Linked DNA regions of Tamandua tetradactyla. The protein of the gene in region 2 purifies or fractionates together with the protein of the main gene of each other region. This does not show direct contact. Links are inferred from orthologs where the notes say so. Each region holds a gene or a part of one and is shown on either strand. Other genes may lie near its edges. The genes, in order: ILF2, FUS, HNRNPC and RALY.

Region 1 (7,322 bases), on a different chromosome or scaffold from region 2:
AATAAAATAAACACAGGAAAGAAAAAAAAAGATTATACCTACCATACCCCTTACCCCTCGCTTTCATTGATCACTAGCATTTCAAACTAAATTTATTTTAGCATTTGTTCCCCCTATCATTTATTTTTATTCCATATGTTCTACTCCTTTGTTGACAAGGTAGATAAAAGGAGCATCAGACACAAGGTTTTCACAATCACACAGTCACACTGTGAAAGCTACATCATTATACAATCATCTTCAAGAAACAAATGGCTACTGGAACACAGCTCTACATTTTCAGGCAGTTCCCTCCAGCCTCTCCATTACATCTTGAATAACAAGATGATATCTCCTTGATGCATAAGAGTAACCTCCAGGATAACCTCTCGACTCTGTTTGGAATCTCTCAGCCATTGACACTTTGTCTCATTTCCCTCTTCCCCCTTTTGGTCGAGAAGGTTTTCTCAATCCCTTGATGCTAAGTCTCAGCTCATTCTAGGGTTTTTCTCAATCCCTTGATGCTGAGTCTCCGTTCATTCCAAGATCTCTGTCCCACGTTGCCAGGAAGGTCCATACCCTTGGGAGTTATGACCCATGTAGAGAGGGGTAGGGTGGTGAGACTGCTCGTTGTGTTGGCTGGAGAGAGAGGCCACATCTGAACAACAAAACAGGCTCTCTTGGTGAGCTGAGATTTAGCATCAAGGGATTGAGAAAACCTTCTCGACCAAAAGGGGGAAGAGGGAAATGAGACAAAGTGTCAATGGCTGAGAGATTCCAGAGTCCAGAGGTTATCCTGGAGGTTACTCTTATGCATCAAGGAGATATCATCTTGTTATTCAAGATGTAATGGAGAGGCTGGAGGGAACTGCCTGAAAATGTAGAGCTGTGTTCCAGTAGCCATTTGTTTCTTGAAGATGATTGTATAATGATGTAGCTTTCACAGTGTGACTGTGTGATTGTGAAAACCTTGTGTCTGATGCTCTTAGGCCTAAATTTTAAGTAGACTTGACCTATCCTTTGTGGGGTTAAGTTTCATATGAACAAACCCCAAGACTGGGGGCTCAGCCTATAGCTTTGGTTGTCCACACTGCTTGTGAGAATATCAAGAATTCAACTTGGGGAAGCTGAATTTCTCCCCGTTCTCACCACTCCCCGCAGGGGGCTTTGCAGATACTTTTCCACTCACTGATCGAATCACTCTGGGATTCATCGGGGCATCACTCTGGACAAACCAGCAAAATCTCATGTCCTATCTGAGATTCCAAGTACTTATGGCGTTCAATCAAACTATTTACATAAGTTATATTAGGAAATGCACTAGTCAAAATATAAATTTTGTAACAAGTAAACATTTTTTGCTTTAGTCTCAGACAGAAGGTGACATTTAAAAATATTAATTACCATCTATTTTCAGTACCCTACAATAATGACATTCCTTTGTTCTTCCTCATGCAAAAACATTTTTAAAATTGTACATTGTACATTTCACACTCTAGGCATTCCTAGATTATACCATCTCAATCTTTAACATCTATCTTTCTTTCTGATTTCATTTATGTTCCCAGCCCTCCTCCCTCTATCATTCTCACATGCAGCTTCATTCAGTGTTTTAATATAATTATATTACAGTTAGGTAGTATTGTGCTGTCCATTTCTGAGTTTTTGTATCCAGTCCTGTTGCACAGTCTGTGTCACAAGTGGGAAATTCTTGATATTCTCACAAGCAGCGGGGACAACCAAAGCAATAGGCTGAGCCCCCAATCTTGGGATTTGTTTATATGAAAGTTTATTTACTTAACCCTGTAAAGGATAAGCTAAGCCACTTAAAATTGAGCCTAAGAATCACCCCCAAGAGAACCTCTTTTGTTGCTCAGATGTGGCCTCTCTCTCTCAGCCAACACAACAAGCAAACTCACCGCCCTCCCCCTCTCTACGTGGGACATGACTCCCAGGGGTGTGGACCTTCCTGGCAACGTGGCACAGAAATCCTAGAATGAGCTGGGACTCGGCACCAAGGGATTGAGAAAACCTACTCGACCGAAAGGGGGAGAAGAGAAATGAGACAAAATAAAGTGTCAATGGCTGAGAGATACCAGAGTCGAGAGGTTATCCTGGAGGTTATTCTTATGCATTAAGTAGATATCACCTTTTTAATTAAGGTGTAACAGAGAGGCTGGAGGGAACTGCCTGAAAATGTAAATGTAGAGCTGTGTTCCAGTAACCATGTTTCTTAAAGATGGTTGTATAATGATATAGCTTTCACAATGTGACTGTGTGATTGTGAAAACCTTGTGTCTGATACTTCTTTTATCTACCTTATGGACAGATGAGTAAAATGTATGGATTAAGAATAAATAAATAATAGGGGGAACAAATGTTAAAATAAATTTAGTAGATTGAAATGCTAGTGATCAGTGAAAGGGAGGGGTAAGGGGTATGGTATGTATGAATTTCTTTTCTGTTTTCTTTTTATTTCTTTTTCTGAATTGATGCAAATGTTCTAAGAAATGATCATGATGATGAATATACAACTATGTGATGAGGAAAAAAGAATGTTCATATTGTATGTTGATTGGTTTTATTAATAAAACTTTTAAAAAAAGGAATAACCTCCAGGATAACCTCTCAACTCTGTCTGAAATATCTCAGCCACTGACACTTTTTCTCGTTTCTCTCTTCCCCCTTTTGGTCAAAAAGGTTTTCTGAATACCTTGATGCCAGGTCCCGGCTTATCCTGGGATTTCTGTCCCACATTGCCAGGAAGATTCACACCCCTGGGAGTCATGACCCACGTAGAAGAGGAGGGCAGTGGGGTCCCTTGCCATGTCGCTTAGAGAGAGGCATATCTGATCAACAAAGAGGTTCTCTTAGGCCTAATTTTAAGTAGGCTGGCCTATCCTTTACAGGAATAAGTTTCACAGGGGTGAACCCCAAGATTGGGGCTTGGCCTATTGATTTAGTTGTCCCCACTGCTTGTGAGAATATCAGAAATTCTCCAAATTGGAAAGTTGAATCTTTTCCCCTTCTTTCCCACTCCCTAAGGGGACTTCACAAATACTTCTTTATTCACTGTCCAAATCACTCTGGGATTTATCGGGACATCACACTAACCTGGACTACCCAACAAGATCTCATGCCCTATTCAAGATTCTCTTATGGGATCTTATGGTACTTATGGTATCAACTAAACTGACCATAAAAGGTAAATCAGGAAATGCACTACCCAAAATGTAAATTTTATACCAAATAAACTCTCCCTTTAGCCGGAGGACCTCTTTTGTTGCTCAGATGTGGTCTCTCTCTTTCTAAGCCCAGGAACAGACAAACCTAATATATGAAAACAGAAATAGGAATAGTGATTCCCTCTAAGGACAGGGCAAAGGGGTATGAGGTAACTTTCTAGGGTGATGAAAATGTTCTTTATCTTAATCTGGGTAGTGGTTACATAGATTTAAAACATTACTCAACATTAACTAGCTATACTGCTAAGATCTGTGCATTTTAATGTAGGTAAATTATACATCAATAAAGTATGTAAAACATTACACAACACAGTACTTAATTCTGAGGGGAATGAAGGTGGTAAATGGAATTAAGTTATTCTTGTATTTTTTCAGGAGGACTTTCTGAAGTCAGAGATGCGTGTTGTAATTTTTAGGGTAGACACTAAAAGGGTAGAAAAAAGAAAAGAGTGCATAACTTCCCATTAACAGAGGGGGGAAAATAATAAACATTATATCTCCCATGACAAAGAAGGCAAGAAGGGGGAAAATTAACAGGAGGGATAACAGCCAGCACATAGTAAAATGATTGATTTAAATGCAAATCAATACAATGTCTCCCTTTCTGCCTCAAGTTGCTGAACTACACAGAAGTGTGATGTATTAATCGCTTCCTAAGGACCCTTCCTCAGTACACTTCATTCGCCAGTGCCAGAAAAATCTTTGAAAGGCTGCATTTATAAGGGAAGAAAAAACTGAAAAGATGGCGTTCACATCTATTAAAAAAATTGAAATCATACGTATCACCTTTCTCTATAAGGAGGGAAATAAAAGAACCAGATAGCAGAGGATGGTTTCGATCCATCGACCTCTGGGTTATGGGCCCAGCACGCTTCCGCTGCGCCACTCTGCTACCTGGTGTTCAGGGCTTGTAAAGGTCATATAGAAAGTATTTACAATTGGTGGCGTTCGAGGTGTTCAGTTCCTCCAAAGAGCGCTACCTAGTTCTTGAAGAAGGAACTGCCGCCATTGCTGTCGAGCCTGTTCTTACTGGCTGGTTCCCGACACAGCAGGCGTCTTTTATTGGTTCTTTGCTTATGTCTATTGGTTTATAGAACCAATAGACAAAAGCGGCGGGATAAGGCGGGAGCCAATAGCGCCGGGTTTTGTTGGGAGACACCGGCAAGCTGCTTCTCCAGTTGTCCGCTCCTCAGAGGAGAGGGGCGGTTGGCGCGGCCTCCATTGTTCGGGATTTAGGGCGCCATGAGGTAAGGGGACCGGGGCGCTGTATGAGGATTTTGGATATTCGACTGAAAATGTTGGGAAGGTGGGCCGAAAGGAGTCGGAGGAGGATTGGGGATTGGCCTAAAACCTGAGAACTCCCGGCCTGGTAGCGGAGGAGGGGTCGGAGGCCGGCTGGGGCGGGGGAACGCGGGCCTGGGACGGGGGTGGGGCCCGGGCGCGGGAGGCGGGTTCGAGGCCGCTGTCTCTGGATAGGGGGTGTCCGCGGATCCCTGCCGGACCCTCCCCGCTTCTGGGCTGAGACGGCTGGATCGTGCCCCATTCATCCTCACTGCCAGTTGCTTCACGTGTAGGCTATGATCACTACATTTTTAAATGCCTTAGTAGATAAATGAGCACTCACTTTAATCTCGGAAATGTTAGGATTGGCACATCTCCCAGGTATTACGGTAGGGGCTCTAGGTGTTAAGTATCTGGGTCCCGTTATTAATTGAGGTTATGATTAAATTATCCATAATGAGGAGAAGTGTGATCGAAATACTGTCACTAGGCTCCCGAAGGTTCAGAGCGATGAAGGGAGGCTAATTCGAAATGATGTGGTGGGTATAGTGGAGTTGCTACAGTGAGGTAAAAAGAAAAAAACCTCCCAACTTTCTATATCAAGAAATTGATTTAAATGATACTACATTAATTTAATGGACTACTACACGACTATCAAAAAGAATGAGATCACTCTGGAATGAGATCACTCTGTACACAGAAAGGAGTACATGCTGTATTAACTGAAAAAAAGCAATTCAGATAAGTACATAGTATGACTTGCTCTGAATCTTGAAAAGGAATATATATGTTTGCATATTTTGTGTGTTTGTATGTGAAAACACCATGAAAAACACCAGAAAGAATACAGCCCACACGTTTATGGGGAACGAAACATTTATGGGGAATAAAAGGGGAAATTTTACTTAGTTTTACATTTATTTAATATAAATAAATGGTGATGTCTGGCTATTTTCAAATGACTTTGTAATCTCTTTTTAAAAAAACTTTTAAGAGTTTTAAAAAAACCTTTCATACATTTCTAGGGGTGACAGAGGCCGTGGTCGTGGTGGGCGTTTTGGTTCCAGAGGAGGCCCAGGAGGAGGGTGAGTGCCAGTTTTTAGCACCTCTGCACTGGTTGGTTTCTCTTAATCATTTAAGTAGGAATTTGGAGTGGACTAATGTTATGTTAGGTGTAGCTGTGATTTAACATCTCTTCTGGTGCTGTCCTGCTAAATGTTGATTTTGCTAAGAAGGATCATCCCCCAGGGGACTGACCCTGATTCTCAAGACACAAATGTTTTCAAAACTCCAATTTGTAGAGTATATGGAACCTGTTAATTAGGTGTCATTGGTTGGGTGAAAGGTTCGATGCAGTATTAGCAATTGTAAGGTAGAACTTTCAACTTTGAGCAGTCGTTTTATTTCTCAGTTAAAAGTTTTATCTGTTCAGGAACCTGAATATCTGAATGCTAAAAAGATTTCTCTCTCTTGATGTTAGTCTCCAAGAGATGCTAGAAAACCAAAGTTTTGGAAGAGAGAACATAAAAACATTGTTTAATTCTGTTTCTAGGTTAAGGCTGTTTGTGCCAAACATCTCATTTGATTTCTATGTGGTGCATAATTTGGACTGTTTTCCTTGTTTTAGGTTTAGGCCCTTTGTGCCACATATTCCATTTGATTTCTATTTGGTGAGTATCTGGGGTTAGTATGACTTTCCTGGCCACTGTTTACCTTAACATAGAAATGGAGTTTAGCATTTCCCAGTTATTGAAGTTAAGTGGTAGTTGGAATAGGAACAAGGACTTGTTAATAAAGTTGGGGCTTTGAGTTAGCTGTGTTGCGTTGCATACAAAGACAGTGTAAGCAGGGTGAAGAGATAATTTCTTGGCTACTGTTGACAGTAATATGATTGAACTTTTTATTTCAAATAAGAATATCTGATTCATCTGTTAATGTGAAAGTCGTGACCTTAAATTATGGCTGTTCTATTGTATATATTATTGTAGCAACAGTACAAAGTACTTATTCCTGTATATTATTTTGAGTAAATATTATGTTTGTAGTATTAAATAGTTTAATTCTTGTTCAGTGTGAAATGGCCTTCCCCCGGGTCAAGCCAGCACCTGATGAAACCTCTTTCAGTGAGGCCTTGCTGAAGAGGAATCAAGACCTTGCTCCCAATTCTGCTGAACAGGTATGCTATTTTGGTTTCCTTCCTGAGATTTCTGTAGTGGTCAGAAAAGTGAATAATCTCAGATGAGGTTAAGAGTAAATAGTGTTTTCAGAGACTAAGCTCAGAAAGCTTATTCTTATTCTTATTTCTTATTATTCTTACTTCTTCTTGTGGGTAGAGACCGAGAGCCAGCTGAGTATATTAACAGATTATTAGGCATTCAGGTTTTTATTGGAGGATCTCATCTATGTGATAAAAAATGTTCTTTTCTGGCATATTCAAGGCCAGAAGGGTCAAAATGTTTTTAAAGCCTGTGTTGGTATTAAGCTTGTATGGAAAGGATTATGAGAAAATATTCAAATTCTGAGAAATTGCTTGTAATTTTTCACCTTAGGGAGTTTTGTCTCATGCTGTTTTTCAGGCGTCTATCCTTTCTCTGGTGACAAAAATAAACAATGTGATTGACAATTTGATTGTGGCTCCAGGGACATTTGAAGTGGTAAGTTTTTGTTGATTTAGTTCTACAAAGGGGCAGTCTCATTTGTGGAAATTTCCTTGGCTTCCTCTTAATTGTTCAATTCCCTGTTATCCAGATCCAAGCCTAAAATGGGAACATGGAATTCCTTTGTAGTACCAGTCTTGTGAATGGTACTGTTCACAAG
Region 2 (7,402 bases):
TTAATAGTTCTGTATTTTTAATTCCATCCCTCAAGGGATTCTGCCAATACTTTTTGATTATCTGCTTAATATATTCTAGGATGTACCCACGCATTACATTAAACTACACAGGATTAAAGACCCTCATTCTTCTTCTGGGCTGCCTGTGTTTTGATTGTTGAAATGAGCTATCCTGACAGGTTGAGTTAGATTATGTGCTACAGAAAATTTAGGTTCTGGACAAAACAAACCTTTCTTCCGTTGGTCTCAAAGAGCAGGTACTGTTCTAAAATACAGACAAAGTCTTCCTTCCAATGTTCTGAATTACCTTAATCCTGACCTGATCGGCTTCATTAACATCAGATTATACATATATAAAACCACCTCTCAAAATCCAGAAATACCACCCCCATCTTTTTTTAGCTCATGGTATAGCTGTATCACATTGCTCCTCAACCTTTGTCCCTACCCTCCTCCTCCAGGGAACATCTGGCAAATACTTGGAGACAATTTCGGTTGTCAAACTGGGGGTTTGGGGGTTGTTACCGGCATCTAGTGAGTAGAGGTCAGGAGTGCTACTAAATATTCTATGATACACAGGTTAGCTTCCCACAGCAGAGTTATCTGACACGAAATCCCAATAGTGCTGAGACTGAGACATCTTTCTGTTTAATAATTAAGTCAACCAGATCCCCTATTGATGGGCATTTAGGTTGTTCCTAATCTTTTGATATATAAATGCTGTTGCAATGACAGTGGTTTAAACTGAAGTTCTTAGCAGCGGGAGACATAATCTACTTTATGTAGTTTAAGCAAAAAGAGATTATGATAGGTGGAGAGATTATTACAGATGGTTGCCAAATTTCTGGGAGGGTCAAGGAGTCAAGCTTGGACATTTCCCAACCAGTATTACAAACCAGGTTAAGAGTCCAGCAACAGCATAGGACTTTTCTAGTGGAAATTCCAGGGCTGTTGCTTCATGCATTTGGCTTCTGTGATACTAAGGATGTTATAACTTCCACCAGAGCTATCCCTGAAGAATCAAAGGTCTCAGCCACTCTACTGGTCAGAATCTGAACTTCCCATTTGCGGCTGCTGCCTCAAATCTTGTGAGGTGCATTTGCTTGACAAAACTGGGTTGGAGATGACCCAAAGTATGGGCCTGGAACTCAGGAAAGTCAGGATTGGACATACACATTTGGGGGATGAACGCATGACATGAATGAAATCACATTCCAGATCACATTTTAGTCTACAGCCAGAGTTTTTAACCTCTAGAGTTAACTCCAGAAAGCTTCTGAAGATAGCATTCAGCAGTTCCAAACTTGAATGAGAAAATATTGTCCTTATTTTCACTTACCTTTAACTGCCATTTAACATTTTTTTTTCCCAATCTGATGACTAGGGGAACAAATCACAGCAGGATTAGCAGTACTAGGGTGTTCACCACGTACAGAAATCTCATAAATTTTCAGATCACATCACAGACGTTACAGATAATATTAAAATATTTTTTACATTCCAATGTACTTCAAAATTACAATTATTAGACTTGCCAGTAGATTGTTACATTTAATGCATTAGTATATTACAAAGATATTTTAAAACAATATTTTGACTACTACTTCCATTTAATGTTTTCTTTGCATTCTTACGTAGGGAGTCTCCTTGATATTACAAGTGGTGAATTACAAGCGCGTGCCCCAGCTAAAGGTGGTGGCTTCTTCTTCAACTTGACCCTTGTCCTATGAGAATGTGGGACCAGGACGGTCAGAACCTCCAATTTTCAAGAAAAAGCCAGAAGTTTGGATTTTGATGTAACATTTTTCTATTTCAGTGTTGGCAACTACTTAAAAAAATTAAAATACAAGAGGATAAAAAGAAAAGAAAAAATATACATAACAGGATATCCTAAAGTAGGCTAAATTAGATGTCAGGCTGCAGTTTGGGCCTTGCATTTTGAGGGAGAAGTTAAGAAGGCTGAAGACAGAGCCTCTGGTGAGCAGAGAAAGAGAATGCAGGAGGACAAGACAGAGAATCAACAGTGGGAGAGGTGGGAGGGCTGGGAGCAGGGGTGTCCATTAAGTAGAGGTCCCCATGTTACATGCTCAGGTGAAACTCACTGAAAGAGTTAAGTCTGGTGACATGGACCCTGTACGGAGACTTTCAGGGGCCCCAATTTGATCCTGCCACCCCCCATTATTCTGCCCATGAATACCCTTCCCCATCCATACCTTTGTCTCTGACACTCCTGCCAGATGCACCCTTTCTTCTCTTCATGGTTGGTGAATTACTTATCCTGCAAGGCCTAGCTTCAATGTTACCAAATTATCTCTACCTTTCTGTCTACCTGGTACATGACTTGCTCTCTCAGCAGAGTTTCTGGAGTCCCTCATTCCATGTTAGAGTACTTACCACATTTCTTTTAGGTTCACTTTGCGGTCTGTGTCTCATTTCACCCCTGGTCATAAAAGTCCTACGGTTTAGGGACTGGATCTTCTTTTATCCTCTCTTTGGGTCTGACCCCTGGCTTGCACATGCTATGCAGTGTTCAAGCAATGTTTGCCCAAGCAGGAACTCTGAGTCAGACTGACCCATTTGGGCTACTTTCTGAGTAGCCCTGGCAGGGCGTTCAACATTTTGTGCCTAGCTCCTCATCTGTAAAATGCAATTCTCACACCGACCTCCACCTCGTAGGTTTATTGTGAAGAATAAGATTAAACAAATTATACTCAAAGCACTCAGAACAGTGCCTAATACTTAGAAAGCCTTTTGAAGTGTTAGCTGTTATAAAAATATATATACAAATATGCAGAATACATGAATATTATCATTGTTAAATGTTAGCTTCATTATTAAATGTTAGATTCAGGGTGGGCCACGGAGGTTCAGCAGGTAAGAGTGCTTGTCTGCCATACCTGAGGACCCGGGTTTGATTCCCAGCGCCTGTCCATGAAAAAAAAAAAAAGTTAGATTCATCTGTTTTGTACACTAATATATCCCTAGAGCTTGTTATAAATACTGAATAAATGAATGAAACGAATGAGTGACACACTTCCCTTTGCCTTCACTCCGGAGCCACATTCCCTTCCTATGGGGTGGGGTGTTCAAGGGCTAACAGATCACTAATCAGGCCTGGGGCACAGCCCTCACTGTTTCTCTTGGAAAACGCCTACTTTCTACCCAGAAATTTCTAGAACCCAGGCCAAAGGTAAGTTGCGAAGGAAACTGCCTGGCACGCATACCCAGGAGTAACGTCTTCTATTTTATTCAATAGTTTCAAATTGCCTTTTCCAGGCAAGGCTGATTAAAGTACAAGTTTCAAGTTAATTTTTTTGCCCTTGCTTTCATGGTGAGTGAACAGGCTTCCCAACCCTCCAGAGCGTTCTTGTAACCATCTAAAGGAGTGTTTTGCAGTTACACAGACTTGGGTTCGAATCACGACTTGTTGATCCTTAGGTGTACTTTCATCATTGATTGTATCTGGCAGGAGTCACACTTTTCTTATCTATCAGAAAATGGAGATACCTTCCCTTTCTTCCCAACACTGTGATGGGAAAACAACTTTTTGCGCATTTTGAAGCCACTTAAGCGTTATACAAAATGGCTGTTATTACTGGGATCTCCAAATTGATTCTGTGGTGGGCCTTCAAGAAAATAAAAAGTAGCTCCGTATCAGTCAAGGGCAGAGGCCGGGAACTCCTGATGTAGAATCTGCGAGTGCAATGTCACCGGAAGGGCTGGGGGCAACAGGATGAGAACTCAACGCCGGACTAGATTATGACCAAAGGGTCTGGCAAACATCATCTATGCTTTGTTTCAGGTCAAACGTCACAATTCACAAGCCCTCACAGGGGTGACCAAAAGGTATCCCTGAAAGAGGATGAAGTGAAAACCGAGAGGCCGGGAGGGAAAGGGTCCGTGGGTGTTACTGGGGGAGGATCGTTAGAATCAGTGAGAGTGCGAGAGCGCAGGGGAGGCGGGTGGCCGGAGGGACGGTGCGTCGGGAGAAGCGAAAATGCAGCTGCAAGAAGGAGCTCGCTATCCTAAGTGAAAGTGCGGCCCAGTGAAATGGGCAAGGCAGAATTTCGGTTCCTGCCGGGCCACTCCCGACTGTACTTCCGCTCTCAGACGCCTCGGGCTCCTCGCCCCGCCCCCAGCGGGGGGCCTCAGGCTGTACCATTTTGGCCTTTTAGGGGTGAAACTGAATAATCGGCTAGGCCTCCCGAGGGAATCTGTGGTAGCCACCAGAAAAATAAGATTGTGTATTATGAGTTGCACATTTATGACCAATCTTCTCCCTCTTCGTCTGCTCGGATCCCATATATTTCCTGGAGCTTGGTAGGCGCCCCATCGTGCTTCCCCCTTTCTTTTTCCACATTTGGTACATTCCCCTGCGGTACGTAGGCGGGGAGGCGTACATAAACCTCGACGAAGAAGGCGGGGCCGCTCAGTTCTCGAGGCGTCGGTGCTCTGTAGTGTTGGAATTGTGTTGCTTGTCGGGCCGTTTGCGCGTGCGCGGACATGGCCTCAAACGGTAGGTAAGGGCGCGTGGCGGGGGTGGCATGCTAGCCTGGGAGTTCGTTCCTTTCTTGCTGGGCCTTAGTTTTTTTCTGGGACCGGGATGGCGATCGCGTGTGGTGGGGTCGTCTCTACGGACCATTCCGGCGGGAAGCAGCTGAAAGGGTGGAAGGTGAGGGCTGATGTCGCCATTTTGTTTCTCTTCCCTGGCGCTTCTCGCGCAGGGCAGGAGATATTTCCTAACATTTCTTTACTTGAGGTGGGGAATGGAAGGGGACGTTTCTCTGCGTTTTGGAGCGTGAGCCAAGGTGGAAGTGCTTAGTCTCCATAGCCTTCCTTCCTTTCCCTCGCTCCCAGCCTCGCATTTGGGCCCGCTTTGTCGCAGTACTGCATCCGGGTACTCCGCGCGCGCACGCGCTCTTCTGGCCCCTCCCCTTCCTCGCGGCGCGTACTCCTGCCCGCCTCGTGCTGGCCCCGTTTTTTGTCGCGAGACCCTCCGCGGGAGACCCCGCAGTGCGCGTCCGGTGTGGGCTTTGCCCTCCCAGGCCCCTGGGGAGGGGGTGGAACCGCCCAGTTCCCGCCTGGGTTGCCACGCGGCCGGGGGCGGAGGCTCGGCGCTTAGGCCGCGCGCCCGCTTAACGGTCTGTGGGAGGGGGCAGCATGGGGGCTTGACCAACGGACTACGGAATCTGGCCCGACATTTTTCCCGCCTAAATTCCTTTTCTCTGAGATGGGGATGGAAAGGAACATCCGCCCCTAGCCACACCTCTTTCTTCCTTTCTCAGCGAGGGAAGCACCTCATTTCCTGTCCTAAGCAGTTGAGTCGATTTGGATACTGTACCTTTACTGTGGCGTTTTAAAAGCGCTCTCACTAGCTTGGGTTCGCCGAATTTTTTCTGCAGCTCCCTGGAAAGCAGAGTAGATGAGAAAACGGACGCCATTGGGCGCCTCAGGCCTGAGTCTTGCCTTTTGAGCAAGCTTCTCGAAGGCCGATCTCTCTCTCATTTGGTATCAAAGGGGATCGCTTTTGTTTTCTTGACTGCGCTAAAACCCCAATTTTGCCATTCTCAATGATTGGCCAGAGGGCGAAAATGGTCTCTATTGAACACGTTCTTGTTCTTTGGATCTCAGTTGAGAGAATGGAGGTTGCTTCCTCGGGCTTGAATTCAAACCTGCCCCAGGTAGCTCTGTGACCCTTGGCAGGTTATCATATCTTGAGTTGTGGGTAGTTGTGAAAATGAATTTTGTATGTAAAATGTTTTAGTGCAGTTTCTGAACTGAATTAAGTTTGCAGAAAATTGTAACTTGATCCTGGAATTTTTTCTTGCGTAGTGGATTAAGACTCCTTGGTCTTCGCATAAACACACTTTTTTGGCATGACCATCTTTCTTTGATGATCATCTACCAGCTTACCTTTCCTTCCTTCCAACTAATGTCTTATAGGGGAAAATTTATGGCCTTTTTTGCACCATAGTTTTTGCTCATTTTCTTGATTTGGAGGCCCCAAGTGCTGGAGTTAAGGGAATTTAGGGCTCTGTCACACTCTCAGGGAAGACTGGCTGAAGGTAATGTGAATCTTTTTTTTTTTTTTTGCAGACTATACTCAACAAGCAACGCAAAGGTGAGTGTCAATTCTGGACAGTTCGTTGAGGGCAGGGTGGCAGAGGTGTATTTTTCTCATTGTATTTGTTTTTGCTTTGTTTTGCACCCAGCTACGGGGCCTACCCCACCCAGCCTGGGCAGGGCTACTCCCAGCAGAGCAGTCAACCCTATGGACAGCAGAGTTATGGTGGTTATGGCCAGTCGGCAGACACTTCAGGATATGGCCAAAGCAGCTATGGTGGTTCTTATGGGCAGACCCAGAACAGTGAGTCTTTTAGTGGGTCACCTCACCTGTCCCTGCTCTTTCTGAATGTTGCCTTTCTTTTAAATCGCAGTAGTGCTAAAATGTTAGTGCCATTTGTTCCATGTTTCTTTTCTCTTATCCGGTCTATAACTTATAACTTCTTAGAAACTTTTGAAAGTAAAAACTTTTGTTTTAAACAAAAATGCTTAATGTTGCTTTGTAATTCTATGCATTCCTTTTTCTTCGACTGTTTTTTCTATTTATGTTGTACTTTTTCCCATTTTCAGCATGAAAGTAAAATAAGAGGGGAGTGTGTCACCTAAAGAAAAACAATTTTAGGTTTGGTACTTAATAGGGAGGAAATGGCTTGCTTGAAGGTGTTTTAAGTTAGGCTCTCAAACTTCATGTGATACGGTAGGAGTTGAAATTTGCCCTGGGGCCTTTAAGCATATAACTTTCGTTGCTCATACATTAAAATGCTGTTACTAAGTAGGATTCGTGTGGGCTTAAATTAGATCATGATCCTGAAGACTGGGTTTTGGGAGGCTGAGATATACTGTCCTAAGGAGTTGGTACCTTAGCCTTAGAGTAGAAGAGAAGGGTAACTTGTATTAGGAAGAACGAAGTGGCTTTTTTCCAACCTCTTCTTTGCCCATTCCTCTCATAGCATTTGTGGCTCCCTTTTTCTTTGCCTTGTAGCAGGTTATGGCACCCAGTCAACTCCCCAGGGATATGGCTCAACTGGTGGCTATGGCAGTGGACAGAGTTCCCAATCGTCTTATGGGCAGCAGTCCTCCTACCCCGGCTATGGGCAGCAGCCAGCTCCCAGCAGCACTTCTGGAAGGTAAGGAGGGGTTGGGGGAAGACCTGGAAGATTGGGGCTGAATTGGTAAGGAGTGATAATGAAACAATTAAAAGAAATGGGAAGTGCTAAAAGTGAAGGAAAGTTTTGGGTATTATGACATTTTCGTTTTGGTTTTTTCCTTTCCTTTAGCTATGGCGGCAGTTCTCAGAGCAGCAGTTATGGACAGCCCCCGAGTGGGGGCTATGGGCAAC
Region 3 (7,313 bases), on a different chromosome or scaffold from region 2:
CAGTGAGGGAAAAGCAGTGAATGAAGCAATGAAAGCTTAGGACTGGAATAGAGCGCTATTACAGGATTTTAGTGTGGGTGTCACAAAAAAAAATGATGCTTTCCGATGATTAACATGACAACAATTTGCAGGTCAGAGTGGGGGACAGATGAGTGTGAGTGAAGCAGGGTGCAGTAAAAGAGTAAGGGCCTTGAAAGTGATGTTTAATAACTCCATCATATAATTTTTCAAGTAGAACATGGTTGCCTGTGGGAGATAGCTTGCAAACAGTCAGAAAGGTGTCCAAATTAGTGTGAAGAAGTATAAAGAAGTGATGGGTAAAATTAGCACCATGAAAGTTTTTTTTAATTAGTATTGACAAATCTTCACACTCATACAGTCCATACAATCAATGGCTCACAATATTATCACATAGTTGTGTATTCATCATGATGATCATTTTTAGAACATTTGCATCACTCCAGAAAAAGAAATAAAAAGAAAAAACTCATACATCTCACACACTTTACCCCTTCATTGACCACTAGTATTTCAATCTACTCAATTAATTTTACCCTTTCCCCCCCTATTATTTATTTATTTTTATCCATATTTTTTAACTTATCTGTCTATATGCTGGATAAAAGGAGCATCGGACACAAGGTTTTCACAACCACCCTGTCACACTGTAAAATCTATATCGTTATACAATCGTCCTCAAGAATCAAGGCCACTGGAACACAGCTCAACATATGAGGTATTTCCCTCCAGCCACTCCAACACACCATAAACTAAGAAGGGATATCTATATAATACATAAGAATAACCTTCAGGATAACCTCTTAACTCTTTTTGAAATCTCTCAGCCACTGAAACTTTTTATTGCCTCCTTTCTCTCTTCCCCTTTGGACAAGAAGGCTTTTTCAATCCCATGATGCTGGGTCCTGGCTCATCCTGGCAGTTCTGTCCCACATTGCCAGGTAGATTTACACCCCTGGGAGTCATGTCCCATGTAGTGGGGAGTGCAGTGAGTTCACCTGCTGAGTTGGCTTAGAGAGAGAGGCCACATCTGAGAAACAAAAGAGGTTCAGTGAGGGTGACTCTTAGGCATAATTATAAGTAGGCTTAGCTTACGCTTTGCAGGAATAAGTTTCATAGGGGTGAATCCCAAGATTGAGGGCTCAGCCTATTGATTTCGTTGTTCTCACTGTTTGGAAGAATATTAGGAATTCTCCAAATGGGGAAGTTGAATATTTCCTCTTTTCTCCGCAGTCCCCCAAAGGGTTTTTAACAAATACTTTTTTATTCATTGCCCAAATTACTCTGGGCTATATTGAGACATCACACTTACCTAGATAAACTAACAAGCTCTCATGCTCTATTCAAGATTCCATGTACTTAATGATGTTCAACTAAACTGACCATACAAGTTAAATTAGGTAATGCGCTACCCAAAATATGAATTTTGTGCAAAATAAACATCTCTCCCTTTGGTCTCACACAGAAGTTGAAGTTTTATAATATGGACAAATATCATCCTTTACCCTGTGTTCTAATTTGCCTTAGTCGTATCCAGATCAGCTTCATTCATATCTCTTAGCGAAGTCTGATCCCTTTTTCAAGTTTTTAAACAGTTACTGTATGGGGTAGTGCTGATTTTCATACCTTCAGAGCTCTAACTCTGAGTCTCAGAGCACCATGAAATTTTACTTAAGTGTTTTGACTGGATTCATCAGAAACCATTTCCTCACTCTCTAGGGGAAAATTGTTATGACACTCTTGGACAATGGAGGTGCAGAGGATGAGAGGCAATAACGATTGTACTAGAAGAGCCCTATTTGGCTTGTTGTATGGGATGGGACTAGGGAGGCTGAGGGATGGAGGATGATACATATTGAGGACAGTATTTGGTCAATGACTCCAGTAAAAAGTTAAGTTATTTCATAGCAGTTACTGCTTCTCCTTTCATCTTCTTTTTGACAGAATTGAGGCGGGGGCAGGCTGGGGTAGTGAGAGTAGAGGGGATATTTCAAGCCACATGAAATCTCTGAACAGAATTATTTTTTGAAGTAAAACAAATGTTCAGTTTTGTTTTATTTTCTCCTTAGGCCAAGTTTTCTCTGTTTCCTTACCTCTTTTTCCACTACTAGAGGCTGGCTCATGCTTTCTTTCTACTATATATAGCCTTTCAATAGATGCATTCTACTGTAAACTGTAAGGGTCTTTAGAATAGGCACAAGAGAACTTAAGGGAACTTTCTACACTCTACCTTACCCACCTAAGTTTACAGAGCATCAGAATCCAAAGTCATGAATGTTTGCCATCAACATGGTGCTCAACATTCTGCACCATGTTGCATTTGTATGAATGCTATTTTTGCACTTGTTTTCTTCTCTAGAAAATTGTAAGTTATTTGGTAGAAGTACTAGCAGTTAATTCTTTTTGTATACTTCACTTTCACACCACCTAGCAAACAGGTGAAATGTTTGAAAGCATGATGTTGTCTTTTAAGTACTATTTTTGCTTCTATGAACACAGTGCTGGTTAATAAGTAGGTCATGACAAAGAATATGAAGTAAAACTGATTTCTGGTAAAAAATGAAATAGGCAGTTTTCATTAATGTTTTAGAGACTTTTATTCTATGAAAACAGTGAGCAATAAAAAAGCTATGTTAATGTTTATTTTTGTTTACTTAAGTCAATAATTTCACTTTAACCAGACCTCTGAGCCTCTGGACCCCTCTGAGAAATTGTCATATAAGTTATTTAATAAAAAAGAAATGTAGAATCTACCTGCTTGTCTTGGCAAAATAGTATTTTCCCCCGATAAATAAAAATGATTAATCGGTGTAATACATATTTCAAACACTTTCTGCATAAAGCCCTGTAATAGGTGGTAAGCAAGCGGAATACAAATAGGAGTAAGTGAACTCTGCCATCAAAAAAGCTTCCAGTCCAAGACGAGAGAACAGACGAGTGCAAAATTAATCACAATGCTATGAGGTAGTTTTAAATTAACTGCAATGTTGCAGCTGAGTTGAGGCTTTAAGCACGTAGTATTTCCCCCAATTACTTGTTTAAAGTAGACAATATGTAAGATATAGAAAAGCACAAGGCAGTAAAAATCTACCTCATCAGTAGAAACCACCATTAACATTTTAGTATTTTTTTCTTTTACCTTTGTTTTTGCTTTTTCCAACTGGCTTAAAGTAATAATATTGCAAAAAATAATAATACTGTAAAACATTCAAACAGTATAGAAAGGATACCAATGAAAAAAGTAAAAATTCCTCTCTCCAAAGGTAACAGCTACTTTTTTGTGTGAATCTCTGTAATTCAGAAGTAATTAAAACTAATGCATAAAGCATTTACATATTCATATGTCCCTTAAAAACTTACAGAAATGGAATCACAATATGTAAGAGTTCTGCACCTTACATTTTCCAGTTAATGGGAATAAGCCCTCTCCTTAACATATCCACATATAGCTCTCCCTCATTCTTAGTAAGGCTAGCTAGTTCTATTCCATCTGTATAGTATTCCGGGCTAGCATTTTATACTTCCTTGTTTGATATATTGGAGAGGAATAGGAAGCCAGCTGAATTGGGTGGGATATGTGCTGTCTGAACAAGAGCTTGATGGCAGAGGAATGGGGAGGTGAAATTCGAGTCTGGAACTGAGGAAGGGATCTGGGGTTGGGGAAAAACTGCGGGTATGGTTAGTTTTCTATGTAGCTTAACATGGCCTAGTTATCACCGCTTTCTCCTCACTTTAATAAAAAAAATCTTTCTTTATCCATATAGCACAAAGGAAACGTCGCTTCGTGGTATACCTTCTCCCCCTGCCCAAGGCTAAGAAGACCGCTGCGAAAGGCGGAAGAGGGCCTAAGACTCGACCTTCGCGCCGGCAACTTAACAACGCCTCTTATCCCTCCTCACCCCCACGTCGCGGGAATTCCGAGATTTGGGCGGGCCTTCTCCAAGGGCTAGAAGGAGTAGAGATAGGGCACTACGGACGCCAATCAAATATGCCGGATACCCGGATGTGAAGCGGTGCGCGCGATACAAAGGCGAATTTTCACCCAGCGCTACGTCCGGTACATTGGCCAATAAGAATTCCTCAAGCAATAAGTGATAGGAGCAATAACCAGTTATAAGCTAGTTTCTTTCACGCATGTGGAAATTCTCTTACTTGGTCTAACCCATTGCTGATTTTAATTGGGCGAGATTGTGAAGAACAGTAGAGCTGACCTACAAGGAACGGGAGCGAGAAAGGGCGCAGCCAATAGAGAGGTTCCAAGAATGGGGCGGGGACTAGGCCTTCGCCTCGGCGGCGGAGGAGACTCAGGAGCCATTTTGTGGACGGACGGAGACTGTGCGGTTGCTACCGCGTTGCCGACCTCGAGCAGCAGTCGGCTTCTTCGCGTGGAATCTGGGAGTGGGAGATTCAGATTTGAATCCCTTCTCCCTCCCCCCTCCTGGTAAGTGGAGGGGGAGACAAGGAGAGGCACTGGGTTCTTCGGGGAGCGCGAGAGGGTGTGGGGAAAAAAGGCGAGGGAACCCTCTCGGCAGAGTAACCAGGCCCCCTTTTCTTTTATTTGCCTTGGGGAATTAGGTTTTGTGTGGGAGGGAGTGTTAGCGTTTTCAATCTCCGCGTGGATTTAATCTGGCGTTCTCTAGGCCTTGATCGTCGGAGAAAATACCTTTTTTCGTCTTGCTTACCTATGTTAACGGTTGGTTTCCTTTCATTTTTCTACGACCGTGAGGACTCCCAAGAGAATTGAAAGTGAAGCTCGAGATGTTCGTTAATATAGTTGAAGTTTATGTGGAGCTAATGTTTTCTGTTACCTCATTCTTTCACATTTAAAAATTGAGCAGTCGGGGAGTGGGTGCTTACCAAAGTGTTGTACCGCGAGCCTGTAAATTCTGAAACGTGCTGCAGGGCATGGAAATAATGAATACAGCAATAGACTTAGTATTCTGAATATTTATTATTTTACTTCTTTTTAGGCAAATGTGGACTTCGAAGTAGTAATTTTTTTATTTTAAAAAGAAAAATGTAACCTCACGTATTAACAATTAAAATTGCAGCTGACTTACTACTTTTTATCTGCAGGTTTCAAATCACTTGAAATATATAAGTTAGTGGAACTTTGCTTGAGGTAGGTATTAATATCTTTCTCAGACAAAAATCTGAGGCGTAAGAGTGTTGGATGCCAGAGTATGTTAAATCAGGACTGTTGAGGTATTTGACCACTAGGTCAGTCGAGTGGATTTACCTAGTTGTTTGAAAATAGTTGGTACCAGGCACTACGTTTGAATTTTTACAAGAACCTAGTTACAGAAACCACTGGCAGTTAACTGGAAAATTACCAAACTGCACTTGGAAAAGATAATTAGTTATGAGAGTTGCATTTTTTTATTAAGATTAACTGTCGACGACGACATACTTAAATTCGGTTTTTAAGATGTTTTGGTATTTATAAATTTTTGCTGTCCACCCAAACTTTTGTGACAAAAAAATGCCCAACTACACTTTATTATAGTGCCTACTATTTGCTAGATACTGAAACTTAAAAATTTTCTGAGTTAGTAAAACTTGAAATGGCTAATTTATCCTTGTGTAAGATTGAGCTAATTATATTTTTTACAGTGTGTAAATCTCAAATACGAATGCTGTGTTAAGCAAAGTTTAAACCAGTAATGAAGAGTAAGAAGTTCATCCTCCAAGAAACCTAATTTTTAGACGGTAAAAGTAGGCATATTCTAGATGGCTATGTATTTGCTCGTTCTTCACTATGTAGATACTGTAAATCCTGTAATGGGCTCTGCAGTATCAAAAGTATTTCCTGTTTTTTTTTTTTTTTTTTTTTTTAACGTAGGCAGGCAGTGGGAATCGAACCTGGGTCTCTTGCATGGCAGGTGAGAACTTTGCCACTGAGCCACCATTGCCTGCCCTCTTTTTTTTTTGAAGGCCTAAAATGTATATTGTGTATGGGCTTTTTAAAAGTAAAGCTCATCACGCAGCTGAACTGTCAGAAATAAGATAAAAGCAAGTGATAATTAATTTAGGCAATCATCTAGTTGGTAAAAGTATTGTTGGCAATTGACTGTGAGGCATTACTTTTATTTATTTATTTTTTGTATGGGAGGCACCGTGAATCGAACCCGGGTCTCTGGCATGGCTTGCCGAGAACTCTGCCTGCTGAGCCACCATGGCCCGCCCCTGAGGCATTAATTTTTAATACTTAAGAAGGGTTATTATTGAGAACCGAAATTCTTGTGTAGTTGTCGAAATTTCGAGGTGTTAGAGATATGGCCTCATTAACATCAGCATGTCACAAATTTCCTGAGTTAACATCCGTCAGAAACTCTGTCCACAAAATTAATACCTGAAACAATTCTAGCTGTGTTTTCAAGAGGTAGGCTTTAGTAACATTTTCATGTTGGGCTAGAGAGGAAGGGTTTAAGAGGAAAGACAAACTTTTTTGTGTTTGCCATGCTGTGTCATTCTCAGGAATACTTTGGTGGTGGTTGCTATTCTTTGTGTAGAGAATTCAAATATAGCTTATAGTGTAATTACATTTCTAGGTTTAACATAGCGTGTGATCTTGTTTTGGATGGAATTGCTGTTAGAAACAAACCAAGAATAAATTCCAGTGAAGCTGTTTCTAATCCTAAAGACACATTAACTGTTGAATGTGAGAAGGATTGATTACCTGGGGAGTATAACAGTTGCAAAATCTTGGCCTAAGAGTTAGAACCAAATCCCATCCCATCCCATCCCCCCCTCCCCCGCTTGTTACCTGTGTTATTTTGGGTAAATCACTTTTCATTTTCTGCATTTTAGTTTTGTATCTGTAAAATCAGGGGTCTTGGACTTGTTTTAATTTCTAGTTTGTCATTTGCCAAAGGTTAAAAGGTGTACGGGAATAGTTTTATTGTTGATAGCTGTTTTGGAAATTAGCAGTTGTTTAGATAGAACTGCCTTAATAACTGCAGTTACTATGCTAAGTGATTTCTTGGATTTATTATAGTGTATGGAAATATACTCAAACCTACTTCTGACACAGTCCACTGGAAGGATTAGGCACTTTGTTTAAAGAATTGGTTCCTAGATGTCTCTAGTTAAACCCTACAGTGGTTCTCAAAGTTGAGCAGATATCAAAATGGGCAGGGAAGTTGGCTAAAACAAAATGCTGCCCCCCCCAGCCTTCCCCCCCCCAGGAGAATTTCAGATTAAGTCTGGATGGGGGTGGGGTCTGAATTTGCATTTCTAACAGTTGGTAGTTTATGACAATGGTCATGCTGTTGCGATCTCACTTGGAGAATGTC
Region 4 (7,789 bases), on a different chromosome or scaffold from region 2:
CTTCCGAAAATAGAGAAGGGGTCAGCAGTCATCTTTGAAAAAAGAAAAAAGGCTTCAGTGATGAGCTTCAATCCAGAGGGGAGAACTTAACCAAAGGTACCACAAGGCATGGGTTCTTGCTCTAAGACTGTAAGCCATGCCCTGCTGCAGATGCAGTAGGTTAAGGAAGACACTAAGAGCACAAGTTATATTGTCTGCAAATTGAATCCTGGCTCTGTCACTTACTAAATTATATGACCCTGAGCAAGTCCTGTAACATCCAGAAGCCTGTTCTTTCTTCTGTAAAACAGGGATAATAACAGTATCTAATGCAGAGGTTTGCTCTGAGGATTAAAAGAGACACAGACATACAGTACCTGCTATATGACAAATGCTGAATAAGTGTTAGTTATTATTACTAACACTACAAACTACTTTCACAGCCATTTTCTCATAAACCCTCAACAATCCTGTGAGAGTTTACAGATAAGGAAATCGAAGCTTAGAGTCACAATGAGTGGCTCATTTGATGAGGCCAAATCAAATCCTCAGCCTGAGAGATGTCCTGCCCCATCTCTTGTTTAACTGCATGACCTAAGGCAAGTGCCCTAACCTTGCTGTATTTCAATTTCCACGTAATAAAATGGCAATACAAACCTAGCTCAGTAAACTCCCTCACAGAAATGAATTAGAAATGAAATCAGATGATGGTTACAAAAGAGTGCTGTAAACTATAAAGTACTGTAAAACAAAAGTGGCAACTTATAAAAAATGGTATACCTGTGCACAAAATCTGGCCTTTTACTGCTAAACCTGAGGCATAGAGAGTGGCTGGGACTACACAACTTCGTTGGAATTTCCATTCACTCAAGATTCTTGGTCTTTCCAGGGCTGAATAAATGGTTAAATGCCCTTTCATGAGGCAGAAATAAAAATTACTGAACTGAGAGGCAGAAGACTGGAGATTCTAGTTCTTGTTCTATCACTAAGGCAGTTTTAATTTAGAACTTACTATTAATACAGAAAGGGGAACAATTCCTCCCTACCATGATTCTTGGGATGCAGAGGGGGAAGCACAGTACACCTACCAGATTCCAAGGGATTAAGACAGACATCAAATATCAGGGTAAGACCTCCCTTCCTAAGAGACCCCTCAATATTCAGCTCAGGAACTCCCCTGCCTGATTTTCAGACTCCTCATACATACTGGAAATCAAACATATTGGAAAACTGAAACACTTCCCAAAGCTAATTTTAGTTCACTTTAAGCTCTCTGGGCCTTATCTGAAAATAAGGGAAATAAAACCCTACTTGAAAGCAGACCTGAGTAAATGATTTGTCACCCCTAACCCACAGAAATCTGTAAATCTAAACACCAGAGAAATGCAAGGTTTGGAATGAAGAGGGGAGATAATGGAGGAGGAACATAATATGAACAAAATTATGGACAGACTTCACTTGGATTTACACCTTCCTTGAGCCAAAGTCCCAGGGAATTTCAGTTACGCTTGAGACCTGGAGTTCCCTGCATCCACCAACTTCTAGAGGAAAGGTAAGCAGAAAGTCATTCTATCCTCCTTTCCCTCGGAGTTTTGGTAGCCTAGAATGGTATTTCATGTGGAAAATGGCCCAAAAGTCAGGAAGGACCTAGTAATGCCCCTAACTCATGGTTGATCCAGGAATAACTCCTTTTGCACTAGGGATTATACATGCTCACATTAGGAAATAAATAACAGGTATTAGCATCACTGCCTTACACTTCTGTGGCTACAGGGTGTTTTGGAGCAAACTAGTCTCTCCGTGCCTTTATTTCTGCTTCTGTGCAATGGGAATAACTCCAGAAGGCCGTTGTGAGCACTAAATGAAAAAACGCCTTATGAAATACCTGGCAAGGGGCCTAGCACATGATCAAGTCTCATTAAATTTACCTGTTGGTATTAAACAGTTCTCATTTATTAGTTCCCTCATCGAGCACGCAAACACCCTGTGAAACGAATTTCATTTTTCCCCCATTTCACCGAGGCGCGAACTCAGGCTGGGCCGCGAAGAGCACTGCGTGAAGTGCGAAATAACGCCCCAGCTCGAAGGCCTGTGGTTGTTCCCCTCCAAGCCCCAGGTGTACCAATGAGCTCAGGACCGGGAGAAGTAGGATCGGGGGCGCTCAGGCCCCCGAGGGTCGAGTCAGGGCCAGTTGTACCCGTCTCAGGGATCCACAGACCCAGCCTAGGAGGACAGCAGGGCAGTGTGGAGGCGGAAAAAAGCCCGGGGCCAGAGTCCTGGCCCTGCCCGCCGAGGCCTCCTCGGCGCGGCCTCCGCTCCACTCCCTCCTCCCCTCGCCGAGCGGGGCGGGGCGCAAACACAAAAGACTCCAACTTCCGAGCCGGCGCGGGCCCACCCGGCCAACTCCTGGCCCAGGCCCGGGCCGCGGAACTGCCGGGGCGGGCGACACGGGGCGGCGGGCTCGGGTACAGGGAATGTGCGGAAGGAGGGGATCTGGAGTTACTCCGGCTCTCCGGGCTCCGGAATGACCAGAAAAAGAGTTTCTAAAAATAGGTAACGGCCCGCTTGAAGAGGTGAGCGACCGAAAAGAAGCACAGGAACACACACTCACACACTCACACACTCACACACTCTCTTGAGGAGACGCCCGCGGCTCCCACTCACCCGCGCCAAGAGATCTGGAGAGAGAAGCTCGGCAAGGAAGGAGGCGGTGCCGCCGCACTTGGGGGCGGAATGAAGGGAGGGAGAGAGGGAGGCGGCCCCGACCGCGGCGTGAGGAGCCTGAACACAAGCGCGGGAGCCCTCGTCTGCGGCGTCGTCGTCGTCGCCGCCGCTACCGCCCCCACAGCTTCTCGCGGCTTGATCTGCCCAGAGCCCGCGCCGTTCGCGCGTCCAGCTATACTGACAGCGGCGCGAGCTCCGCAGCCGCGAGTCCTTCCCTCGGCCTACACCACTGAGGCGCGCAGGGGTAGGGCCCCTCAGCTTGGCCCCGCCCTCCGCCCTAGTCCTAACCTGGGCTTCCCTCCCCTCCACTCCTGTCTCCCGGGTAGATGCTACGACAGTAGTGCAACGAGATTGGAACCTCGCCCAGGCACAACCGGCCCCGCCCCCAACGCCTGGGCTCTCTTCACCCCTCGGCTCGGCTTTGGAAAGGTCCAGAGCTTCCGCGGGGAGAGGCAAAGGGCGGGGCAGGGGCGGGGCCTGATAGGGAGGCGGGACTGAGGTGGGAGCCTGGGGACCCGCGTAAGGGCGGGAAGAGGGATTCGCTTGTACTAGTAGGGAGCCGAACGTGGGGCAAGGCTAGCAGGGTTGTGAATCCCTAACAAGAGGAGCGCAAGAGAGGTAAAGAAAGTAGTGGAGGCCTCGGAGAGCCTGGAGCTCCCTCAGAGCTGGAAAGGAGAGGCTGTGCTCGGGCCTAGAGGGCGGCCATACCCAGAGGAGGAGTCACGGTGGAGGAAGACCAAGAGAAGCTGGAAGAAGGAGGGGCTGAGGAGAAGCCACGAAAGAAGGAACGATTGAAGCGGGACCGGAGGAGGCGGGCCCGGAAGCAGAGCCAGGAGGAGGAGCCCGAAAGGTGGAGACTCTCGGGAGGAGCCGGAAGGAGGCGTGACCTAAAGAAGGTTTGAGTGGGTGGTGCTTGGCGTTAGCCGGGCGTGGGGATGGGGCTCAAACTCGTCGCCTGGAGGCAATGCTCTAGGGATCCGGAAAAGAGGAAGTAGAGAAGAAGCACAAGGTCTTTTAATTTTCAAGGAACCAGGCACTAGGGCTTCATGTCTAAGCTGGAACTAGGGGAAGAGGCTGCGGTGACGGTGGAACTCTGGGGGAGGACTTAAAAAATATATAAAGGTAAAATTCAAGTAAGTCTCTTTATACTTCTGGCTGCAGGGAATGTTTTCTAACTTGATCTGAGTGGTGGTTCTCCCTCCTAAACATCTCCGCTGTTGAATTTTTCACTTGGATCACTAGTCCATTCGCCAGAGTCTCTGATCCCCAAGCCCCAGCCTCCACAGAACAGCCAGAGGAGTTTTCTGAGAGCACAAAAGGACTGGTGCCTTTCAGTCTTCAGTTATGGACCTCCTTGAAAACTGGGAACTGACTAGAAAAATTCTCCATGTCTCATCCAATCTGGCCTGCGATTTCATGATTGTATTTATCATATCGTTTCCCCCAGAATCTACCTGAAAAACGAGATTCTCTACTCTGAGCAGAACTTGAATCAAGAGCTGTAGCTCTGCCCGATCAGCAGTTAGATCTACACTTCTGTATAGGCTGGAACTAGATTCTGGAAAGAACTGATTTCTTTGCTAAGCTTGACAGACAGTGGGAATCATTGAACGGTTTTGAGCAGAGGGTGCTTTGGAATGATCAAGTGTCAAGGTTGAAAGAATCTGCTCCATGAAATTGTGAAACTATAACCCACAATTGGTGGCTGAGAGGGGGGTGGGGGAGAGGTTCAAGGTTATGAGGACGGTTCTCCTAAGTCAATGAAAGAATATATTATGTCTCTCTTGGTCCTCACCAGCTCAGCCCTGGGCCCTTGTCTCTCCTGTCTGTCTTGCCAGGGGTCTCCAAATCCGTTTTTTCTTATCAAACAAAAGACAGGGTGGCATCTTCAAAGTATGGGCTTCATTAAGTAGGGAGAGCAAATTCAGACCTTCCCTCCCAATGCCTCTCTCACCTCAGCCTTCAAACCTCCTAACAGAGAGAGTACCAGTCCAAGTGACCTTCCCTCTGCCCCTCTTTGCAATCCATTAGCTGCACCACCAAGATCATATGCATTGCATTAATTGAAATTGACATTAAGGGCTCACATGCTCAAGCACATTCAAAGAAATTATAAAATGAATAAGGCTTTGTGTATGTGGCATTTGTTCTAATGAGAAAAAGCATCTCTAGAGCATCTTACTCAAAAAGGATTATGTACCCAGGAAATGATTATGAGGCCTCCCACCCCACCCATGCCTCCCAATATTCAGAAAGGCTTTAGTCTCCGAGATGCATTTCTGCAGATGTCATCCATCACATTTCCCCTTCGTGTTCTCCATTTCTTTATCCAAATCCACTCCTCCATATTCTTTTTTTAAAACTTTTTTATTGTGAAATATAACACACACAAAAAAATAGATTTCAAAGTACATTTTAACAAGTAGTTACAGTATGAATTTCAAAGTATGGTATGGGTTACAGTCCCACAGCTTCAGGTATTTCCTTCTAGCTGCTCTAAGACACTGGAGACTAAGAAGAAATATCAATATAATGATTCGGTAGTCATTTTCATTTGTTAAATCCTATTTTCTCCGTTAAAACTCCTCCTCCTTTTATCCTTCTCCCAATCTGTAGGGATATTTGGGCAAGAACCATCTAACTTCATGTTGAAGAAGGGTTTCAACATTATGGTGTATGGGGATGCAACTGGTTGATGCTCGTGAAGATACTGGTAACTCTGAGTTTGGGGGATTATCTGGCCTAGGGACCCATCAGGAGGTTGTAGGTTTCTGAAAAATAAACTTAGTGAGGGAAACTTTTTATAAATCTCAGATAGAGCCCTGGGTATATTTTAGGAGTTATAGGAATACTGTTGGTTGGGGCTTGGCATACCATGGGAATTAGCAATATCTAGCTGAAGCTTGCATAAGAGTAACCTTCAGAAAAGGCTCTTGACTCTATTTGAACTGTCTGAGCCACTGATACCTTATTTTGTTACATTTTCCCCCTTTTGGTCAGGGGCCATTATCAGTGCCGTGGTACCAGGGCCAGGCTCATCCCTGAGAGTCATGTCCCACATTGTCAAGGAGACGTACACTCCTGGACATCATGTCCCACGTAGGGGGGAAGGTAAAGATTTTCCTTGCAGAATTGGACTTAAGAGAGAGAGGAGGCCACATCTGAGCAACTAAAGAGTTTCTCTGGAAGTAACCCTTAGGCATAATTATAGGTAGGCTTAGCTTCTCCATTACAGAAATAAGTTTCATAAGAGCAAGCCTCAAGATCAAGGGCCTGGCTTATTAACTTGGGAGTTCCTAATGTTTGAGACAGTATCAGATTTCCCAAGTGGGAAAGTTTAATAGTTCCGTAATTTTTCTTCAGTCCCTCGAGGGATTTTGCCATTACTTTTTAATTATCTGCCCAACGTATTCTGGAATGTATCTGGGTATTATATTAAGCTATACAGAATTGCAAGACCTCATTCCCAATGCTAGACTCCATGTGTTTAGGCTGCTTAACTGAACTGGCCAGATAGGTTAAGTTAGATTGTGTGCTATGGAAAATTTAAGTTTTGGACAAAATAAACCTCTCATCCTTTAGTCTCATGCAGTAGATGAAATTGTAAAACACAAACACCATCATCCTTTACCCTGTGTCTGATTTATCTTAGTCCCAGCCAGATCAGCTTTGTTTTATCTCTAATTGAAGTCTGATCTCTTTTTTGGCTTCTTTACAGTTGCTTTATGTAAGAATACTGACTTTCAGAGCTGCACAACTCCAACTCTTAGTCATATGTGTCATCTGTATGACACCTCCATATCCTTTTAAAAATTCTCAGCCACATGTTAGTACCTTTGAGTTCTCAGATGTTCTTATTTGCTGTACCTCAGGATTTCTTAACCAGGTGGTCCTAGAAGTTCTCAGCTTTTGATCCAAACAGGAGACACTGAGATGAAGAGAATCCCACCTGAAGTAGATTGTAAGTTCTAGATACTGTTTTTCCCTGCACTGTATAATTTCCCTTTCTTGGAATTAGGGCCTGGATTTCCAATGAACCCCCAGTTCCCATTCTTGGTCCAAACTTTATAAAGAGTGAAGATACTAAATTTGGACATCCTGGGTTTGAATCCTGGTTCTGCCATTTACTACTTTTGTGAATCTGGGAAAATTCCTTAACCTCTCTACCTCTCATTTAAGAAATGTGGAAAATAATATCTACCTAACAGAGCTGTTGGATGGATAATATGAGTTGATACACATAAGATGTTTAGAAGAGTGCCTATCACATAGTAAACACTCATTTAATGTATTTATTATTTTATTATTACTGCAGAAGGAAATGGCCACTTTCCCCTAGGCCCTGGTGATGGGACCTGATGCAGGCTGGCCAATCAGGGCATTCCAACCCTCTACCCGCGGTAGAACCCTTCCCACACGTAGAAAGCCATACCAATCATTTGGATTGACACCATGGGTTGAAACTTAATTTGTTCTCTGAAAGCCTGGTCTTACCAGACCAATGCTGTAAAGTAAGGGAAAACTTCCAATTTTGGGCCAGTTCATTAGGAGAGACAAATCTAAGTAGGGAGACTAAGGAACTATCAAATTTCACCCTGCTGTGAAGGCCCACTCTCCCTACCCTAGCCATTGGTCAGATACCATGAAAATAATTGTAGTAGACTGTTAATTTGGGTGACCCCCAAGGAACCATGCTTCCCAGATTTTGTGATTTCATGTAGCCCCCTTCCACATTGACTCTGGGTTTGGCCATGCAACTACTTTGGCCAGTGGGACATTAGCAGTCAGGATACAAGCAGAGGCTTGATAAATGCTTGTACCCCGGGGCTAGTCCTCTTGTAATGCTTACTCTTTGGACCCCTGAGCTTTCAGATAAGAAGTTTGGCTACCATGCTGGAGAGACCAATAGGAAGGATTCTCTAAAACTACATGGAGAGAATCAGAAGTCCAGCCATCCCAGCAGTTTCCCTGCTAAACCCAGCTCTCAGCCAGTCTGGTACCTTAATGCAGGCACAAGAGTGACCACCAGCCAAATGAGGAGAAAAACTGCCCACCTGAGTCCAGCCCAGATGGAGGGCTCATGAGC

The links.
Region 1: the proteins of FUS (region 2) and ILF2 purify together in Homo sapiens (affinity purification with mass spectrometry; 3 studies listed by BioGRID and IntAct, with this or other methods). This does not show direct contact. The link is inferred for Tamandua tetradactyla from reciprocal best matches to the Homo sapiens genes FUS and ILF2.
Region 3: the proteins of FUS (region 2) and HNRNPC purify together in Homo sapiens (affinity purification with mass spectrometry; 3 studies listed by BioGRID and IntAct, with this or other methods). This does not show direct contact. The link is inferred for Tamandua tetradactyla from reciprocal best matches to the Homo sapiens genes FUS and HNRNPC.
Region 4: the proteins of FUS (region 2) and RALY purify together in Homo sapiens (affinity purification with mass spectrometry; 3 studies listed by BioGRID and IntAct, with this or other methods). This does not show direct contact. The link is inferred for Tamandua tetradactyla from reciprocal best matches to the Homo sapiens genes FUS and RALY.

What each region holds. Positions count from the first base shown.
Region 1 is NC_135330.1:6,483,789-6,491,110, reverse strand, and holds the start of ILF2 (interleukin enhancer-binding factor 2), read left to right. Parts: upstream 1-4,319; 5' UTR 4,320-4,466; coding exon 4,467-4,471; intron 4,472-5,530; coding exon 5,531-5,590; intron 5,591-6,132; coding exon 6,133-6,175; intron 6,176-6,576; coding exon 6,577-6,681; intron 6,682-7,081; coding exon 7,082-7,159; intron 7,160-7,322. UniProt on the Homo sapiens protein: Chromatin-interacting protein that forms a stable heterodimer with interleukin enhancer-binding factor 3/ILF3 and plays a role in several biological processes including transcription, innate immunity or cell growth.
Region 2 is NC_135349.1:23,364,107-23,371,508, reverse strand, and holds the start of FUS (RNA-binding protein FUS), read left to right. Parts: upstream 1-4,391; 5' UTR 4,392-4,503; coding exon 4,504-4,516; intron 4,517-6,096; coding exon 6,097-6,121; intron 6,122-6,212; coding exon 6,213-6,367; intron 6,368-7,045; coding exon 7,046-7,190; intron 7,191-7,340; coding exon 7,341-7,402. UniProt on the Homo sapiens protein: DNA/RNA-binding protein that plays a role in various cellular processes such as transcription regulation, RNA splicing, RNA transport, DNA repair and damage response. Binds to ssRNA containing the consensus sequence 5'-AGGUAA-3'.
Region 3 is NC_135340.1:35,250,199-35,257,511, forward strand, and holds the start of HNRNPC (heterogeneous nuclear ribonucleoproteins C1/C2), read left to right. Parts: upstream 1-4,298; 5' UTR 4,299-4,459; intron 4,460-5,094; 5' UTR 5,095-5,140; intron 5,141-7,313. UniProt on the Homo sapiens protein: Binds pre-mRNA and nucleates the assembly of 40S hnRNP particles. Interacts with poly-U tracts in the 3'-UTR or 5'-UTR of mRNA and modulates the stability and the level of translation of bound mRNA molecules. Single HNRNPC tetramers bind 230-240 nucleotides.
Region 4 is NC_135327.1:18,996,623-19,004,411, forward strand, and holds the start of RALY (RNA-binding protein Raly), read right to left. Parts: upstream 3,009-7,789; 5' UTR 2,644-3,008; intron 2,306-2,643; exon of another isoform or gene 1,908-2,305; intron 1,532-1,907; exon of another isoform or gene 1,336-1,531; intron 1-1,335. UniProt on the Homo sapiens protein: RNA-binding protein that acts as a transcriptional cofactor for cholesterol biosynthetic genes in the liver. Binds the lipid-responsive non-coding RNA LeXis and is required for LeXis-mediated effect on cholesterogenesis.